Linked DNA regions of Alligator mississippiensis. Each later gene encodes a partner of the first gene's protein in a complex. Links are inferred from orthologs where the notes say so. Each region holds a gene or a part of one and is shown on either strand. Other genes may lie near its edges.

Region 1 (10,335 bases):
ACCTACTGTTGCTCAGCACATCTGAAAACCCGATACTGTTTCTTACATGACCAGGTGTCCAGGTTGTAGCCAGATTGGTCTAGATGCAAAAAGGAATCAAAACTTGTGGAAGAGGTGATATTTTTTTTTATTAGACCAACAAGATATCTGCAAACAAATTATTTTATTTATTTGCAAGCTTTCGGGCGCACACACCCTTCATCAGGCATAGGAGAGAGCAAAGATTGTAAAAGTTCTTCTAGGCAAAAATGAAAATTCATGACCAAGTATAAATTTAGGATCCTAAATCTGGTTGCCCATATCTGACAAATCTACAACTCTTTAACAGCTTTTTTCACAATGCACACTTAAGAGAAAGCAGCAAAACAGAAAGCAAGGCAACACTTTTTACAGCTAGCTACACTAGATTGACTTTTTTTCCAAGTTCATGTGTTGTGAAGAGTTTTTAGAGTTATATTTTTGTCACAGCACCAATACATGCTGGTGGAATGGTACCCTAGATGAAGAGTTCCTATGATTTCACCAGGACAAAACAAGTGGGTAACTCAAGCAAATGGTCTTTGCAAACAAAACTGAGTCTGAAACTCGGCGCAGTTCCTACCCCTATACAGGTCTTCACATCTCACAAATCCCAGCAGATTCTAATGAGCAGTACACCTGTTGGTAGTTTCTGCAGCAAGCCCATAACCTGACCTGGATATGGAGACTGAACTTCCTCACCCTTAGAGATTGACCCACCACATCAATCAAAGGAAGGTCTGCCTGGAAAACCCCACATACCCTGCACTTGTTCTGTGGATAAAGTAACTCAAGCATCCAGTGCTAGCAATCAATATCTTTAGGGTACACCAGCTTCATTAAAACAAAAATACTAGAGCAAAGGAACCAAAGCATCCGTCAGACACTAAAATTGAGATAAACTACATTTAAAGCAGGATTGCTACTACAGCATTTGTTGTCCCTGCAATTATATCAGTCCGTAAGTTGATCGCCCTGCCTTTGTTGCACACTGCAGGTACATCCCTCCCAGTGATCCTAGCTCCTTGTGGCTTTATGTCATGAGATGTTACAAAACCTCGATCGCTGGAGACTTTTCAAGAATAGGTTGGATAAATGTCAGAAAGAGTTCGCGTATAGCTGACCCTGCCTTGGGGCAGGGGGATAAACTAAGTCAGTGGTTTTCAACCTGTGGTCTGCAGACCCCCGGGGGTCCACAGACTATGTCTAAGGGGTCCGGGAAAGATGATTCTGATCAATCAATAGTATGCAAATACCCACACTTACAATTCAAAGGGGTCCGCACCTCCATGTGAATTTTTTTAGGGGTCCACAAATGAAGAAAGGTTGAAAACCCCTAGACTAGGTGACCTCGAGGTATCGTTCAGCTCTCCTTTCTGAGATGCAGCCAAATTAAAACTAGTAGGACTGTGAAGATATTTTAACATGACAGTAAACAGCTATATGACCTTACATTTTATGAACAGGGCGAGAGTCACAGAAGAAACGACTCAACACAGCACACTGTTTCTAATACTCTTTATATGTTTTGAATATTCGTGGAGTTCCTTCCAAATCTGAGTAGCTACCAGGAAATGCAACAATATCTGATGTTTGAGGTGAATGGGGATGTGTGCGCACAAACATGCACACACACACATACACGCACTTTAAAATCTTGACCAAAATTTTAAAATTGCTGTTTTGCACGGAAGCATACTTGAGGAGTACAGAAAGGGACAGGATTTTTGGTATCCCACCTCATCGTAAGGACACCCCCTTGTAATGATCAGACTAAATGAATGGGTGCATACAGTAGAATGAGTGTAAAGCTATTTCTAATGACTAGTCTTGCTCTCAGGTTGTGTTGACATCAAGATTTTATTTAATAGTATTTTCCTACTGCTACCACCACCGGTTCCATTTCTATCAGCATTAGGTCTTGTCACAAAAAAGTTTGATTACACTGGTCTGGTAACAAAAGCTACAGGCTCTAGTAATGCTCGATGCGATAACCAAGCAACTGTATGAAGAAGCTGCTGGCTTTTTACCTGTAGTGTCACTGAAAGGTGCTCAGCACAGGCCTATATTCTTTTGTCCTGCAAAGGGCAATGCTGTGGTCTACACCATCTTACCGTCATAACCCTCCATGGATCTTCAGTAATGGCAAAAAGTGATAGAAAATGAGTATTAGAACACATATCTATATACCCTGCAGTCTTCCAAGCCTCAGATCTGGCTAGGCCACAGCCAAGTGCTCTGCCTGAAGTGTCAAAGTAATCCGAGAGGCACTAAGGACTCGTATGTATAAAATTAAAAAAAAGGAAATGGAAATGCTTTTTGAAAGTGGCTACGAACTCCCCTGCACTGAGTCTGAAAGTGAATGGGACAAGATCATTTTCAAGCACTTTCAGAAGCATGCGAAAGAAAAAGAAACCTCCATCCACTTAAAGATTCACCACAGGCCCCAGACCATTTCCAACTTATCTGATGCATAATGAAATACTGACCTCAAAATTGGAGCCTTTACACCCTATTTCGTCAGCTCCGAGGCTCTTACCTTATCCTTCTCATGGGGAAGAAGCGACACAGGTGGCAGGCAGGAAAGAGACTCGCAGCTTTCCTTCCCGTCAGCATTAGCAACTGCTTTAGTGTTGAGCTGGTAGAGAGGTCCATCTTTAAGGAGTCTGCCATGGCCAACAGCACGCTTGACAGCTAGTCGCAATTGCTGGTGAAAAGCGGAAGCAGCGCTACCTCCAAACAACACAGACACGTCCTTCTGACCTTTCAAAAAGCGCTCTATGTTTTTCAAGGATGAGCCACTGGACTCCGCCAAGCCCTCGATTGCCCGTTTGATCAGTTTATTCCAGTCCACGTTTGGTTTACCATCCAACTTGCCATGGTTTCGAGGCTTCGGAAGTGCTATTCTCCCCGGATTATCGGGATCCTTGTAGGAATTGAGACCCTTGTTGGAGACTTTTAAAATAGTCCCATCTTTAACGCTTAATTCTAGTTGTTCCAAAACAGTTTTACGGTCCAAACCATGGGATGAAGACACCGCATTGCATATCCTCTCCTCTGAAGGGCGTTGTTTTTGCTTCTTGACCTTTTTAATCGCCTCCAAAATCCACTCAGTATACAGCGGGTTGGCGAGTTTTACCATGGTGAAGACTTCTGTATATCCATAGAGTCGTTATCCCTTATCCCGATGCTGCACAATTTTCACACCGTGGGAAAACAGATTCTCGGAGGAGAGTAACCAGCTAACCATAGCATACACGTTTCTGATATGAACTGCTTCTCTTTGATCCAATATTAAATTTTCTTAAAACTGAAAGAAACACAACACATCCCATTAGGAGCTGATCCACGCTTCCCAACAGATCCCACCACCGCTCCCGCGGCAAGCCTGGCAAAGCTGGAAAGCTGTCAAAGCACATCTTACCTCGCTTCGGGACTCCCGCACCGCGATCGGAAAGAGAACTGGAATGTTACGCCTGCAAGAAAACGGGACGGAGTAATTTCTGAGCAAAAAAAGTCACAAGCCTAAATCTGACTTCCGCCATCCTACGGACGGACGGACGCCTCACAAAGTTTCCCCGAGACCACCCTCGCCGCCCCGGGAGACCGCCAAGTCGCGAAAACAGAAAAACACCGCGTTTGCGTGCAGGGACACAACCGAGTGCCGAAGGTGACAAGGCCGTGCTGTTCCCGCCCAGCCAAGGCGAGTCCCAAGCAGAGAGAGTCGGGACGGACGACGCACTGAGGAAAGACTACCTGGCGCCTTTTGTCTGCGGCCGGGGTTTTACGGCGGACCCCAAAGCGCCCCCATTGTGCCTGGTGTAGGCACGAAAGGGCGCGCGGCGAAAGGGGGGTGCGCGCCGCGGCCACCCCTCCTCGTGTCCCGAAAGCAGCCGCGACACCTGCCCGCCAAGGCGGCGCGGAGAAAGTTGTGCGGAAACCTGCGGGCGTCCCCTCGCCGGGGCTGGGGCCGGGAGGCGGAGGGTGACAGGACGCCGGCCGCACGGGCGGGAAGCCCCCCGAGTGCCCGGCCTCGCCGCCCGCGGCAGACAAAGCGCGGCCGCCCCTCGCCGCGGGCTCGGCACCAGGCGGCGGGCGGCGCCCCCCGGCCCTGCACCTGCCGCGGCCCCGCGGCGCGGCGCGGCCGGGCCTGGGCGGGAGGCGGGCGCGGGAGGCGGGGGCCGCGGGCCGGGCCTGGCGCAGAGCGGCGGCGGCGGCGGCGGGCGGCGGGGCCGGAGCAGGCCGCGAGCCCGCGGCGCCGGGCCGGCCTCCCCCGCGGCGCCCGCCGCCCCGCCGCCTGCCCGCCGCCCGGCCCGCGGCCCCCCCCGCCGCCACTCACCGGGGCCTGCGCGCGGCGGGCGGCGGGCGGCGGCGGCCGGACGGCGGCGAAGCCCGAAACTGACACGGCGGCCATCTTGGGTCCGGAGCGCGGCGGCGGGGGGGGGGCGGCGGCGGGCGGGAACAGCGCACGGCGGGCGGGGCCGCGCCGCCTAGAACAGCCGGGCCGGGGACAGGGACAGGGACAGGGCCGGGGACACGGCGGGCTCCGTCCCAGCGCCCGCGGCCAGGGGTAGGGGGCAGGTCTGCCCCAGCGCCCGGACGGTGTCACCGCTGCATCGCCTTTACCCCCAGGCTGCCTCTCTTTGTGCCCGGACACATCCTTGCATCGGGAGCAGGTGGCAGCCGCGGGAGGACACGGCCGGGCCGGCTGCCTGGTGTTGCACCGACCGGCCCCAAAAGAGCCATGCGGATGCTTCTTGGCGAGTGACACCCTTCGCCGGTCCCGCATTGGGGACCGCGCCAGTTTGGGACCCTGGACTCGGGGAGTTCCCGCGTCGACCTCGGCTTGCGGCGTGGTTTCTCGCGCTTCGGATGGGCAAGTTCGTGCGCGGCGTTTTTAAGCGGTCACCCAGCGTAGAGATGAGAGCTTTTACGAGACCGCCGAGATTTTCGCCAAAAAAAACCCCCACCCCAAAAAATGGTTTGATTGCAAGCTGTCGGGCTTGGGGCTGAAACTTTGTTGGTACCGAGAAATCCTTGTTTCACCAGATTCGAACCATTCGCCCTAGATAACGTTTGACCCTTCGCGAGGCGTCGGAGAAAAGGTTGTCCAAGTTCTCCAGGATCCTCGAGATTGGCAGTCGCGCTCTTCTGTCGACTGCGGGTCCTCTTCTGTCTTCAGAGGATCTTCTCTGAGTAGGTGTACGGTTTGTGTCCGATCCCTAATTGTACCTTGCGTCCAGTTCTGAACTCGTGAAATAGCGTACCACGTTCTGGGCGAGACATTTCTTAGTGTGCAACTCCCCAGAGAGCAAGGGGAGCAATACTGACAGCTCTTAGTTTCGTGCAGGGTGGAGAATATCTAGCTCTCGGAGACCATAAGGACCCCCCCCCCAAACAGGGTTTTGGTGGAGGTGGCGTAGAATAGCGGTCACAACGACGCATGTTTTGGAGATGCTTTCTAACTCAAACCTCTTTGCTGAGTGTACACATTTAAAACTGTTTTATTGCTAATCCACTACGAACTGAGATCTTGCCAAATTGCAAATCCCTTTCCACTGGAAAGACTCCAGACCTACATACAAACTGGGGACAATGCTTCAGTAAGATCCTCGTGGGTGACTGTGTCCATACAGAGCCTCGTTGAAGACCCCCGGCTTCTGTGCAAGCAAAGAGAGCTCCTTCGTGGGAGTACCTGGAGTGACCTGAGCTTGGGGCTGAAACTTTGTTGGTACCAAGAAATTCTTGTTTCACTGGATTCGCACCGTTTGCTCTAGATAACGTTTGATCTGCTTGTTCAGTGTTGCTTGGGCTGCAAGTGACAGCTCTGAAAGCTTTTCTTATTTCAGATCTAGCTGTTGGTTTTGATTACATGTGCAAGGTACAGTCCTGTGCAAACAGGCTATGGCCAGTAGCCACACAATTTCACCAGGAACTTCCCGGATGAATGTTGTGTCTAGTTTTGGATTGGATCATCTTTGCACAAACTTTCTAATCTCTTTGGAGACGGGGAATTGGTAAAGTACTCTTGTAGACTTACTTTTTTTATGCTCCCCATCCCACCCCTGTGGTTTCTTGCCTTAGACTGAGGTGAGGAAGCGGAATGAACAGGAAGGAGGGTGCTGGAGTAAACTGTTAATTGGGACAGAGGAGAATCCTGGTTGCTCAGTCTCTGCCTAGAGAAAAATGCAGATGGCAGCTTGACATCAGCATGTAAAGATCCCTGTAGCAATTGTTTCTGTCTCTGTTCCTAAAGGTTTCAGAGTCCCTATTACGTTCATCATTTCCCCCCTTCCTGTTTGGGTCCCCATGTCCCTGAATTATAGCTGTGGTGCTGAGTGCATGGGAGGTAATGAAGAGCTGAAGTTCATTTCCAGGAGCTAATGAGGGTAAAATAAAGTAAAACTGAGAATTGCTTATGCAAGTATGATACTAAGTTAAAACTTCCTCCTCAGCTGCTGGACTTTTTTGTCTGTTTTAAAAGTCATATTAGGATTATTTAACCAGCAGCAAATTATGATGCAAAGAAGAACGCATTGCATTTGAAAGCTTAGTTAAGTCTATTCTGCCTGTGCAACTAGGTCAGTCAAAGGTGTCACCAGCAAAAATCCTTCCCTCTTCCCTATTTCCTGGACCATCATGCTATGTCACTCAGTGCTAGCAAATTGTAAACTGTTCAAGGTTATATCGTTTAGAAATTAGGATTTTTTTCAGAAATCCAATACTGTCTGTTTGCCTTTCTTTCTGTTCCATTTTCAAAGCACAATCTGACAGTTACACCAGCAGGATCATTGCATATGGTATGCTGCAGATGGCAAAAAGTTGTTTTATCCATCAAGATAATGCACAGTTTGGCAACACCGTTTTGTGAAATGACTAACTCCTTGGCTGTGGTTGTATCCAACTTTCACTGGAGACCCATGTACCTTCTAACTGAGCGCTGGCTCCTCACTGACCTCCAGTTCCCTTGGGTCTTGCTATATTTACCAGCAAGATTGATTTTTGCTTTAGAAACATCTTTCGCTGGATTCTTCTCCTTTTAGTTTCCAATTCGGGTTTATATAAACTCCAGCAATCCTGGGCAGAGCTTTTTATTTACTTTCAAAATGAAATATGATCCCCATGCTGACAGCCCAGAAGCAGCCAGATAGCATTTCTGCAGCAGTAAATAGGGTAATTCTGCACATTGCTTTCTGCAGGTACTAGCAGGAGATTGGGACATTCTTGAAAGGTTTATAGTTCAAAGTAGATCCCAACAGATTCACGTCTGTCAAGGGCCAGAACTGCTCAAAGGATTTTAAGGTATCTTGCATTGTATCGCTACGACTTCTTTCCTCCATAATTCCCTGCAAGCTTGAAATGTGAAACCTGTTCCCTTGCCCAAAAAATGGTTTTTCATACATGTTAACTTGAAATTGTAGTCAGAAGCTTATATTAATATTTTTTGCAGGCGAAAGAAAACCCTTTTGAGGTATTTGGGTTTTTTTTTTTTTCTTTTTTTCTTGTTTTGAAGAAGATACACGAACAACATGAACGGGGCAAAGTAGTCATGATTTTGCTGAGTATGAGCAAAAGAAGGAAATGGCACTCTTTAAAAACAGTTTATGATTCAGCTGAACCTGGATGCTGTTTAGAGGTACAAAGAAAACAGGTCTACACCCAAAGGGATTCCCTTTCTTGAATTTCAGAGGCTCAATGTGAAAAATGGAGAGGCTAGAACTTCTCAAAGAAAGATGCAAGAAATGCAGGGGTTATGTTAGGCCACTTAAACATAGATGGTACTCCCTCTGGTTCCCATTATTGTAGGATGCAACTGCCTCCTTATCTCTGAGGTGACAAATAGAGTATTACTGGCAGTGCTTCTTGGATCAGTTGTACTTGAAGTAATGCATCTACACTCCAGAAGAGACTGTGAGTTTGAAGACAAAATTAAGAAGCCAGCCAGTACCACAGGACCAGGCATTAGATGGAAAGGCACCTGAGTTTCAAAGACCTAGCATAACAAAAATATTCTGGATTGGGTCCGCAAAAGGCCAGTATATAGCTAGGATTCAATGACAGGTGGATTCAGCCCTAAGTTACCTCTGCTGGCAGGACACTGACTAAAAAAAGGATCTGGAGAGCAATTAATACTGAGCCAAGAATGCTATCAGGCCTCACAGTTTAGAGCCAAGATGTTGGCGACCTTTATACAGCTTTTGTGTAATTGGGTAGATTTCTAGCTTTGCCAATTTAACAAAGTCCAATTTTCTCACATAGAGCAGAAATAAATATAAATTATCTCTTCAGCTTGGCTTCCTCACACTTTTTCACACTTAAAGCATACGTACAGTCCTAAAAACAGATTACAAACTAATCGAGCTATTTCTCCAACTAGCTGAGAAGGGACAAATAGCAGCAATAATCTCTTTTACCTTTAGGGGCAAATATTGAGAAGGAAGCTATAAGGGAATTTGCAACACACCTTTTGTAGACCATCCCATGAGCTTCCCTTCATAAATCCACTGGATACAAAAAATCATGGACTAAATATAGACATTGGATTAACAACCTGCCTGACATCTGACACCCCAGATAACCTACCTCCAGCTGACCACTTGCATTCCTCCACACATTTCCCTCCCTTCCTCCCCACCATCTCTACCCATTGTCTTCCTAATTTCCACTCATTTGCATTTTCACAGACCTGCTTGTTGTAAATTTGCTTCTTTTCTACACACAACACCAGCAGAGTCTCCCTAGGCCTGACATAGGGTGTTTGTGCCCAAAAGCTTGCAAAGAACTTTTCCCCCCCAACTTTTGAGTTGGTCTAATAAAAGATATCGCATCTACCCAAAGAACCAAGATAGCCATAAGGCACTTGGATGAAAAGGCATTTTTTCTGATCTAAGGAGGAACGTGAATTGCGTGGGTTGGGTTAGCTGGTTGGTCTGTTTCTTTGTTGCTGTTTGTGTTTTGCACCCTGTGTTAACTAACAATTGGTAACATCCTGGTGTGGTCAAGGCAGTTTCAGTTTTGACATGATACCCGGTGAAAACAGCAAACATCATGAGGGAATGGACTGTTTGCTTTGAACTACAAACGTGCGTGAAATCTGTAATGATCTTCCCATTACAGGATGTTATCCTTTCCTTTCAGGATCACAAGAGTTAAACTCAGATAGGCTGGGGTGTATCCACAACTGGTTTAGCTGTTGCAAAGTGCTCTGTGTGCACTTGCAGACTGTACTTTGGATTCAGGTACAAGGGCAAATGAGTGTTTTAACCCCCTGGAGTACAGCCTCTTAGTTCAAGACTTTTTATCCTTTTTATTTTTGATAAGGGGAAAATAAATACCCAAAGCAGCTCTCTAAGCGTCCTCAGAGAGAGCGCAGAGTTAGGATTTATCACTTGCTTGGTACTGAGTCCACAAAGAACAGATGGTGTGGTTGTTGCCATACTGCTGGAAGGGTTTAAGAACAGCCCCTGTGTCAATAGAGCTTCAGCATGCTAAGAGCAGCTCTTCACTGCCCAGAAGCTATTTGTCCACGTCTCATCTCATGTCACTTAATTTTCATCTGCAGCTAATCATTCCTGGCCTTATTTAAGGATTATTTATCTGAACTACATTTAATAGTGCACAGAAGCATACTCTACTCTATACAGTAGTTCAGGACAAGGAACAGAAGGGATTTTTGTATTCCCCAAGGACTGCTAGGGACTTTGGGAGGCATATACCTTTATGCTTTTTCATGTTATTATGTTTTAATTAAATCTACACTATTTATTGAAAACTACCCTGAAACACTGGCAGAAAGTGCTATGGAAATCAATATCCCTGTGTAATTTGGTAGCATCGATTAGCTTTTAATGAATTTTCAAAGTCAGAGAGGACATTCTGCATAGCTGCCACTGTGACATACCAGGTCATTTTGAAATACATATTGCTCTGTAAACCTTAAATGGGAGATGAGAGGAGTAGAACACATGCAATCTTTTGTGCAAATCTATTTTGCCAAAAAAAAAAGGAGGGGGTGTAGAAGAACCAGAGCATCCTTCTGGTTAGGATTGAGCCTTCCCCAGGGTTCTGGATAAATGGAAAGAGCACTGAACTGTTTTGGTCTGTATGGGTAGAACGAATGTGTATGCAATTGTCTAACATGAGAAGCAGGCAGGGTTATTAGACATGCAGGCAAATACATCATCCAAACCCTCTATCCAAATCTCAGTGGAGCCCTCTGCTGGTGTGGGTTGGTTTGAAAACATTTGCTCTGTGCACCTTGTGTCTGAAAGAGGAAAGTAAATTGCCCCATTTTGGCTTACAAGAGACCAGAGAAAC
Region 2 (10,247 bases), on another chromosome or scaffold:
GGAACATCATGAAAAACCTGGGTCAAGGGTCTAGGCCTACCTAGAACTGGTGGGTATTTGTGCAACAAAATGATGATGCAAAAGGAAAAGGAAGTCACATGTCCAAGAGAAGGGATCTAGAAGGAGACACTGAGCAAAGAACCCCCAACAGGACCTAGTATTAATAAATACTGGTCCAAGGAACCGGGAGATCCTTCCCAGAGGAATTCTTCCTAAACATGAGGTACCAAGGAGCAAAAACAGGATCCAGTCAGAGGACATCCCACACCCTTTTCTCAGTCTTGTAAATATTGTGGGTTTGGTACAGACTACTCTGAAGGTGGGCACTGAGTAAAAAGAGGATTGCATTGTCTCAAGGTTAAGGCAAGTGAATAGTCACCTGGAGAGCTGGATTCTACTTCTGCCGCAGAGTCCCTAATGTGCTACTAAGCAAGTGCCTAAAAGAACATTCCTTGGGTGGTTAGCAATTTCATTTTCCTTGTTTTCTAGATGTCCAAATTGAGGCCTTGGAGCAGGACCTGTGGAAGTGCTGAGCACCCACACTTCCCAAACTGAAGTCAATGGGAAAGGTATCAAACATTTTTCAGGTACTTGGAAAAATCAGATCCTAATAATCTCAAATTAAGCATCCCAGATTAATAGAAACTTTTTATTTTAACCTCTCTGTGCCTAAACAATCCATCTAGGGGAGTGGGGAGAAGGTAATAACACCTCATGCTTCACGTGTGTCAAGATAAAGCATCAATGTTTGTGAAGCATTCAGATACTGAAGTGATGAGAGCAGAAGACGACCTAATATGAAAATTAAAAGTGTCTTCAGAGCAGGGTTTGAATAAGGTGCAGTAAATAGGGGATTATGGCTACTCACTGAACAATGATAAAAAGGTTAAAGGTTTGCAACTACAGAAGGTGCACCAGTGTTTGTTTAGGATCATGTTGCCCAATTCTCTGATGGTGAAAGAAAAGAAAACAGAAGAGAATTCAGCTTATCTTAATTGTGCATTTCCCTATTTATTTAATTAGTTACATTAATAGATCACAGAGGTTGTTGCTGAAATAATCAGAATTTCATCAAGATTTTAAGAATTTTTTTTAAAGTGCTATGTCACGTCACATACTGAGAGCTGTTGGGAGACAGAAATGAGACAACCCAACAAAGCTCCTAAATTTCCAAAGAGCACCCCTAGCAGATCCCAAGAATTAGCCTTTCAAAATTGCCTCTACACACTCCATATCACATACTGAGGATATTAAAAGACATACAGGACCCATGTGCCAAAAATAATTTTATGATTTGAATTCAGAACCATAAAGAACATAGCAACAACAGGTCCCACGGACTATGAAATCCAAAGGGAGGTAAATCTTCAACAGGAATCTTGAAATAAGCATAGAAACTGAAAAGGAAAGGCTGGAGGGAAAAAGAAAGATGACTTAAGATCACTTGAGGAGTCTCAGAGTTCTATAGCACTGAATGGAGAAAAACTAATTCTGTATAATTTGGCTGTTATGCAGGACCTGCCAGAGAAGAAGTCACAGTTGAGAAAATCTGTCAGCAGGAAACTGGTTTGAAGTTCATCAAGCCATCAAATCACCAGCATACCTTAGCTCAGTAGGGTCATTCTAATCATCCTAAATTCAGAGAGTCACTTCTCAAAAGTGATTAATAGATTTTAAGGACAGAAGGCAAACTAGGATAATCTATCACCATCTGTACAAAACTCCACACAATTTAAACCACTATCATCAGTTTTTCTTATATCCAAATTAGTTATGAACTAGAATTTGATAAGAAATTTTGGGGAAAAAATCCTACCTGGGTATGACAAACTATTTTTTAAGATAAGGCAATGTAAAACCCACTTTAATCTTTTCAAAGCATACTGGTGCAATTCTCCTCTAAGTCCCATACTGGTAACTTGTCTGTATCCTGTTTGGAGCTTACTTCTTGCATACATATGCTAACAGTGTCCCAAAGGTGTTTGTTAAGTATGTAGGTGGTTTTCCATAATTAAAGCCCAGTGCTTCAGAGCTGAAATCAGTAACAGCTTTGCCATTTATTTCAATGGCAACAGAACTACACTCTTTGCATTTTGTATGCATTTCATTTAAGTTTTTAAATTACAATAGGTTCCTACAAGGAGATTACCAGGTCTCAAGTGTAGATACAAATGTTCTGCTTTTCTTTCTTCATCTATCACTAAAACCTTGCAGTTTGGAGCCTTTTTGTCACCTCGTGGTTAACTCTTTCTCTACTACCAGACTAACAAATCACTATGTTCTTATCTTAGGAAAGCTTCATATTGACTCTGTGAGCATAGGATAACTTTTTTTCCTGACAGTGTTAGATAACAATCTTGTCAAAACATTCAAGTTCCACTTTCTGTCCCAGACTTCCAGTACACTGGTGCAAAACAGAAGAAAGGGTCTAGCGATTTCAGCCACGGAGAAATATGACTATATGGCGATTTTCTTCCCAGTTACCTAGGAAATAATTTGAAAAAAAAACAAACAACACCTATTTTTATGAAGGTTTCAACATATTTTAATATTTCCAACAGAGCCTATAAACAAACTGTAGAAAAAGTTACAGCTTACTGAACCTTCCTGAGACCTCTGCAACGTAAGTGTCAAAAGGAATTGATCAATGTTCACTCATCTTCTAGTGGATGCAATTAATTGCAAAGATCCAGAAGAGAAGTGAACCCCCCCCCCCCCAAAATCACTGTTTAGACTTCCCAAACCTCTTGAAACTAAGTAACAGATAAACCGCCCTTTCAAGGCAGTGTTGGGGCTCTACAAGGGAGAAGAAAAAAAGGGTGCTTACTTAGAAATTTGGCAGAAATCATTGGATTTTGCTATTTAAAAAAATATCATCTTCTGCCTCTAAACCAGAAAGTTTGAGGAACACCTGAAGGAAAATACAACTCTAGGAGCTAACAATTATGAAGAAATTTGGAATAAATTCAAACTTTAAAAGGAGAGATGAATAGATGACATTTCTTCATTAGAAAAGATCTGAGGAAAAAAGAGGAGCTATTATTTAGAGATAGCGAGACATAAAAGCTTAGCATCAACTCAACATAAAAGGAATGGTCATAGATTGGAAGGAGGCACCTGGCTCTTACGGACATGGACTTGGGTTCAGAAAGTGCTGCCAACTTGTCTTTTGAAATACTCTAGGGCAGCGGTAGCGGTACTCAGACAACCTGCCAGGGGTATGTGTTAACAGATTTGTTATAATTATTTTACACGACAAAAATTTGCTACTGGTACTTAAGATTGAACTGAAAACATTGCTGGTAGTACTTAAGGTTGTATGGTTTTAAATTGCTGGTGGGCGATCTGTCGGAGTTTGGGAACCGCTGCTCTAGGGGAGCGGATGAGTTTTCAGAACATCAAGTTTGGTATTCGATAGTTGGATGTGTTAATAGATGCACTGAAAGCATCACAGATGTAAGTAGCACTGAGCCTGCACAGCAGCTAAGTAAATACAGAGAATTTACTTTTTCTTTAAAAACTACTTCTGACTGCATCACCAGATGCGCTAGTCAAAGCAAACTCCTTGGCTACCGTGAAAGGTGGTTACTGGTCTTTCAGGTATCCTTATCAGCTTCTTTAACATCTGAACCTCATCCAGGGGAGCCAGACGCATCTGTTACGATTTTGTAAGAACGAAAAAGCTCTCGTAGGTGTTTTAAGAGAGCGTCTTTTCCTACATCTTTTTTGTTGTAGTAAGTTTGGGTTACAAACTAGCAGCCGATGCCTGTCACTCCGAAACAGGGCACTAGGGCACGCGTTTTGTAAACCTGGGCAGACAACGTGCTCCGGTGGAAGGGATGAGCAGGGAACAGGCGCGAACTCCAAAGAGGCGGGGCGGGGTTGCAAACGCCCGAGCACCTCGCGGCCCTCCCCCCAGCCCGGCGGAGCAGCACGGTCCCAGCCTCCTGTGGGGACGCCCGCACTCACCGGCCCGTTATCTCCGCTCCGGGACGACCCGCCCAGGACCCCTCATCTCCACGCCGCTGCCGGCCCTAGGATGGGCCCCTCCCCCCACCGGCGCCGCGGCCGCCATTTTGTGGCCGTTCCCCGGGGCCACGTCACGCGCCGTGCGTGCGGCCGCTCCGCGACGTGCCCAGCCCAGCCCCGCCCCGCGCCGTGCCGCGCCTGCGCAGTGGAGGCGGCGGCGGCCGAGCCGGGCAGGCTGAGTAGCGTCGCGGCGGCGGAGACAAAGCGCCGGCTGATGAATGGGGCGGCCCGGCACGACCCGTCCCCGGAACCCCTTCGGGCGCGGCCGGGCGGGCGAGGTGAGCGGGGCCGCGGGCTGGCGCGGGGCGCTCCGAGCCGGGGCTGCCGCTGCCGGGGTCGGCTGCCCGCGCCGCCTCCTGCTGCCGCTGCCCGAGCCGCGGCGCCAGGCCCTGGCCCGGGCTCCGCGCCGGGGACGTGCGGCCAGGGCACAGGAAGTGGTGGGCTGGGCCGGGGCTCGCTCGCCCATTGTGTGGCGGGGTGGCGGGGTCCCCTGGCGGCGCGGCCCGGGCCGGCCCGGCCGCATTGTGTGGGAGCCGCCTGCCCTGCCCTGCCCTGCCCTGCTCTGCTCTGCTCTGCGCGCGCGAGGCCAGCTCGCGCCCGCGCCGAGGCCTCGGAGCCCGGCGCTGTAGGAGTGACCATGTGGCTGGGCCGGGCCGGGCCGGGCCCAGCTAAGATGGCCCGTGGCGGGGCGCCAGGTGCGGCCCCAGGGGGCCGGGCGCTGACAGCCGCGCTGGGCACTGGCTTTCTGCCCATCTCCCCCGCGCGGGCGGGCTGAGGGGCGCAGTGGCCCGTGCAGGAAGGAGCGGCTTTGCGCCAGCGCTGACCCCTCAATGCGCTGAAGTCGCACGACCAACATGGGCTGCGAAACGCCAGCTCCTCTTCTCCTCCCTTCTCGGTACTTTGTTCTTGGGGGTGGCAGGGATTGGAGCACGGTCTAATTAGGGCTCGCTGGTGGGTCTGGAAGGAATTTAAGAGTACAATCTTTGAGGCTTGGAGTTGTCTGCAGAAGTCACTGGTCTTTCTGCTGGGGCGGGGTAGGCTGTAGGCTGGGGTTTCCCTCGCTCTCTCTTCCCTGCTTTGAATTTGACAAGAGACCAAATGTCAAAATAGTAGAGGATGCTTGAGGGCAGGTGTGGCATCAATTGTGAGCCCTCCTGCCTTATGAATAGTGCTGTGAAGTTTGATGGAAGGCATCCTGGCTGCTTCTCTTAAAGCAGACAAGTTTTCAGGATCCCTTATGCCCTGTAAAAGAAAGGAAAAGTGACCATAATCCCTCTCTTTCTCTTTAAGAGTCTGTAGCATTTCACTTGAAAGATGGGACCACCATAACCTAGGGGTTTATGGGGTCTGGTTGGGGCAGCACGAAAGTCTGGGGAACTTCTTTCTGCTCCTCCCAATGTGTATTAAACTCTTTTTTTTTTTTCAAAATGGGGAGGCGGGGAAGAGGGGGAAGTCTTCTCTGAGAATAATTGAACATGGAGTTTATTTTTCAGAAAGAGACTTGTAAGGGAAACCTGGAACATTATGCAGTAGATATAACGGAGAAATAGAAATACACATTGGTGTCACTTCTTTCTTAGGCAAGAAGATTATTTTCTGATTGATATTTGAATGAGAAGTGTGGTCCTTTCTAGCATGGAAAACTGTCCTGCTGGGAACAAGAGTAACTGACACGGTGTGAAAACTTCCTGCTAGAGTCTAAGAACCATCCGCAGCCAGACTGCCAGTATTGCTAGCATGTTTGTAGTTTAACAGATATTGGGAGCTTGGGAGGTTTTCCTTTACAGTGTAGACAAAATGTGAAGTAAATGGAAAACAAATGAAATTACATCCCCACAAAAGATTCTGGGATGAGCAATTTAGATAATCATATGTTTGAAGCTTGCGATTTGTGATAAAAGGATGCTAAAATCTTCATTCTGTTTATTCCACTCACCTGCTTTGTCTTGTCATAAGCCTGGATTGCAAGCTCCCTGGGGTAAGAACTGGTGGCTTGTTACATATTTGTGTAGCAGCTAGCATGATGGAACCCTGGGCCTTGTCTGAACCCGCTAGGCACTACTGTACTGTAATACAGATGATATAACTGAGGCTTACAACAGGTCCACTAGGAATAGTTGGAATAGGAGTAGGACTAGGAGTAGTCCTGCCACCATCCATCACCCCGCACCTTTGCTCTGCTTTCGGCCATACGCCACAACCCACCCTGCCCCACTCTGCTTTTGGCTGCAGGCAATTCTCCCCCTGCCCCGTTCCATGTCCGGCCGCCAGGGGTACACTTATTTAAAAAGGTTGAAACCCCCTTCTTTAGATTATGGGAAAATAACTGATCCTCTTTTGATGGTTTCCAGGCTACAACTCTTGCACGCTTGCATTTGTACTCTCTCTTTCCTCCCCTAGTTTTCCACAACTGCATGAAAGACTACTTTTTGAGAACTGTTTTGGGAAAAAGATAGGTTGGGACTAAAGGGCATGAACTCTTTATGAATGCTCTTTCTTATTTTCCTGAACACACTCCAGCCTGCTGCCCCTTACTGCTGTTCTGTGCACAAGTGCCAGGGAAACTGCACAAGAGGGGCAAACTCCTCAATTTTATCCCCTGACCAGTATGAGGAGATACAATTTGAGTTTGGCTGTGAGTCTTGTCTTATTCCATATTGCAAACGGGGCATATTTAGTTTGTGTTGCTTCTTTGTACTCTGAAAGAAAATAAAGAAAACTATTTACATAAACAGTGGTAACCTGAACAGCTGTAAATGTTAGAAAGATTTTCGTGAAGAACACTATGATCATGTCTTAGTTCAGCATTCGGCATAAAGCAGGCTAGGTAAAATCAGATGCTGTCATAATGTATAAGAACATGAATAGAATATAACAGCAGTTCTATACTGAACCCATAACTTGGCATTGTAAGTTCCCTACATAGGGTTATTTCTAATATTATCAAGCAGGAAATTCTGTACACTATTTGAAAATAACTTTTCCTAGTAATTTTTTCCTCATCTCTTTGGTAAAATTGCCTTCTATCTGTTCCATTAGGGCTATTTGTGCCTGCATTATTAGCATCAATGGAAATTTGTGCAGTTGTGGAAATGTGTTAATTTCAGCTGCTGCGTTAACAGGTTGAGCAATTAAGTGATTCAAAGATAGGAATTTATATGAATTTTGGGGAGTAAAGATTCAAAAATATATTAGACATAAGGTTACCTTTGTGTTGTTATTATTTAAAAACAGAATAAGCTTTGGATGCACTTTCTTTTGTGGTATCTTGTAGTATTCTTCAGTGGAGAATTAATGATGTTAGGATGTCATAAAGAGAATAAGAAAACATCCTGGAATTTGACAACGTACTTTTTGCTTGTCCAAGATTTAATTAAAAAAACATAATCTATTCTGAAATCTTAAACAAGCATGTTGTTTTAAAATGTGTTAATCTTTGTTAACTGCATCACAGTTCACAGTAGATGCTGGCACAAAAAATATAACTATTACATATTATGTTCTTTATTAGTTGAACCAGAAAATGTATTGTTTAATTGATTTTTTTTCTAATAACTTGAGTAGTGATATGCAGGAATGAAAACTAATCATTCTTTGCAATTTTATGGATTCATTTTTATAACTGAATGTGTGTTGTATTTTGCACAAATTAACTAGCCATTTCAACTGAAATATGTCTGCTTTGTCTGGAGCTGTGCAAATTTCTGCTAAGTTAAGACTTCACTTGATTTGTAATTGAAGGAATACCTCTTGAATTGAAAGCACTAATTTTCTGCCTTAGTAAATATACAAATAATCTCTGAACATTCACTGGTTAAAGTTGAAACCCAAAACTTAATCCATGGACTCCTTTTAACTGGAAAATGGGCTTGGGTTTACACTTTTAGATTTAGTGATTCTCAGTTGCTGTTCTTTGAATTTGTAAGAAAATGCAGGAAACATTGAATTTCAAGTTAATGCTATGGTGACAGAATAGAAATGTGTAGTAATTGCGCCTGATTATTATTACATTCAAAATCTAGTATACAGTAAAAGCTGCGTTATTTGGCACATGCTCTGTTAACCAGCATGCCGATCGACACAGCAAAAGCAAAATCGGAAGTCCCACTTTGGCCAACTTTGGACCATGGCCTGGGGCGGAGCAGCCTGCGTGGGGGTCCCCCCTCCCTGTCCTCCAGCACACTGATGGCAGGGAGGGGCAGCGGTGTACTGGGCACAGCGGGAGGGGCAGTGGCCCGAACAGGCAAAGATGCCTGTTCGCACCTCTCGGGTAACTGGCATATTTGGTTATCCGGCACCCCCCCATTCTCCATGAGTGCCGGATAACAGAGCTTTTGCTGTACTTCAAAAGATGTTTATTTTTCTCGTCTTTTATGTTCATTAGTTGATTTATATTGTATGAAAAAATATCTTATTTTGTGGGTTTGGAGTCCTACAGTCCAATCACTATAAAAAGTTAAAAACAGAAATCAATTATTTGGGGCTGACTGGGATGTTTGGTTTGGTCCCAAACAACATGTTTCATGTTTATTTCAGGAAAAAGGAGAACAATGGAAATAAAGGTTAGGCATCATTCACAAAACCAGCAGGGAAGAGAAAGATGTCTGGTCAGATACAGTGGTTATTAGATTCTGGTTTACTAGAAGAGTGATTATAACATTCACCCAGTATGTGGGAGAACTAGGAACGAATCACTTTGGCTGAAGTGTTTTGATTCCATTTTACAGGGGGGTGCCTTATTGTGATTTCTTTTTTGGTATACAAGATGGTATTGTGCTCAGTGTCTCCCACACAATCCTTATTCTGAATCCTACTTTGGCTTTATGGAAGGCATTTAACTTCTCCCCTCTGTGTCTCCCTGTATAAGATACATGCTCATTCATAAAAGGTATTGCAGTAGTTCATTGTAAGGTGTTCTAAAGGTATAACTCGCTCTTTGTACAGTCCACTACTTACTTTCTTAATTGTGTTGGACAGAATTGTCCTTATGGCTCTGTAGTATGTATAATTGCATCTGTTGATGTTTTCAATCTTTTCTTCCCCATCCTATTACATAGATGTGTTTTACTAACATCCTTTGAGAGGAGTGCCACATTTTCTACCCTTTAAAAGAAGAATCCAAGGGTTTCTAAATAGAAGTATGAGCAAGAGATAATGAAGTTAGGAGTTCCTGGGCAGCCCTAGGGATTTTAGGCAGTGGTTGAACAGTTTCTCCTTAAACTGTGTTTTTTTAGGAGTAGGGTAGGACTGCTGGAGATGATCACTCCTGTGTGTCACTGAAACTTTTTGGGACTAGAAGAGCATAACAATTTAAGAACTTTAGTCCACCTACAAAATTATTTCTTGGGAAGCTTATGAAAAGCAAACTGTGCAGAGTTCTTCCTCTAAACCTCAGACCTGCCTTCGATTTGATTTCTTTGCTTAAATGTTGATTGATTGACCAATAAAAAGATAAAATCATGGGCTAGAAGCACCAAAGAAGAACATTTTCCCCAATTGTGGGGGGAGGGAATATCTGTTTTTAAGTTACTGTCTGTTTGCAGATACAGAGCTCTTGACAGGCTCCTTTGAACTGTTATTTTACCTAATGGGTAGGTGCTTTTTGTGAGGAGGAGTAGCTTCTTTGACCTTTTGGAGGGCAAAAACTAATTGTCTTCTCTGAGTGTACAAAAATTGTCGGCTTCCAAAATAACATATAACATGAGAATGATTTAACAAACAGAGTAACTTCATGCCAGCATTTAGTTTTTATTTGCCTTCTGCTTTGAAGCTTAGGAATTAACATCATCTAGGTTTTTTCTACAAACCTTTTTTAAGTGAAAGCTGAGAGTCTCATGCAGGTTTGATTTCAGTAATGGGGCTTTGAAAATGCACATAAATACAGCAAAATGTGTGATGAACTTGCAACAGCTGACAAAGTTGGAAAGTTATATTAAAGATACTTTTTTTTTTTTTTCCCTCTACGTAGATTTCCTGAATTGGTTTGGACAGCAAGTATTGAATCTGAAATGAAGGTAGCAGAACACAATGGAGCTGATGTGTAAGTCTCTCTCTGTCATGTTAGACTTTTTTCTGTCTCTTTTTCCAGGTTGATCCTCAATTTTTCCCCTTTTCTGTAGAGCAAATGCAATTGACTCAGAAGGACTTGAATAATTCTGAGATTGTGAATGTGACAATTGGTTTAGTATTAATAATTTAATGAGAGGTTTGCATGAGTG

Evidence for each region. The genes of interacting proteins can lie anywhere in the genome.
Region 2: KAT6A (region 1) and BRD1 share a complex: the UniProt entries of both Homo sapiens proteins name them as parts of the MOZ/MORF complex. The link is inferred for Alligator mississippiensis from reciprocal best matches to the Homo sapiens genes KAT6A and BRD1.

Annotation. Positions count from the first base shown.
Region 1 is NC_081830.1:17,272,242-17,282,576, reverse strand, and holds the start of KAT6A (histone acetyltransferase KAT6A), read right to left. Parts: upstream 4,455-10,335; 5' UTR 4,358-4,454; intron 3,795-4,357; exon of another isoform or gene 3,775-3,794; intron 3,495-3,774; 5' UTR 3,443-3,494; intron 3,329-3,442; 5' UTR 3,161-3,328; coding exon 2,558-3,160; intron 1-2,557. UniProt on the Homo sapiens protein: Histone acetyltransferase that acetylates lysine residues in histone H3 and histone H4 (in vitro). Component of the MOZ/MORF complex which has a histone H3 acetyltransferase activity. May act as a transcriptional coactivator for RUNX1 and RUNX2.
Region 2 is NC_081827.1:37,036,675-37,046,921, forward strand, and holds the start of BRD1 (bromodomain-containing protein 1), read right to left. Parts: upstream 4,066-10,247; 5' UTR 3,970-4,065; intron 1-3,969. UniProt on the Homo sapiens protein: Scaffold subunit of various histone acetyltransferase (HAT) complexes, such as the MOZ/MORF and HBO1 complexes, that acts as a regulator of hematopoiesis.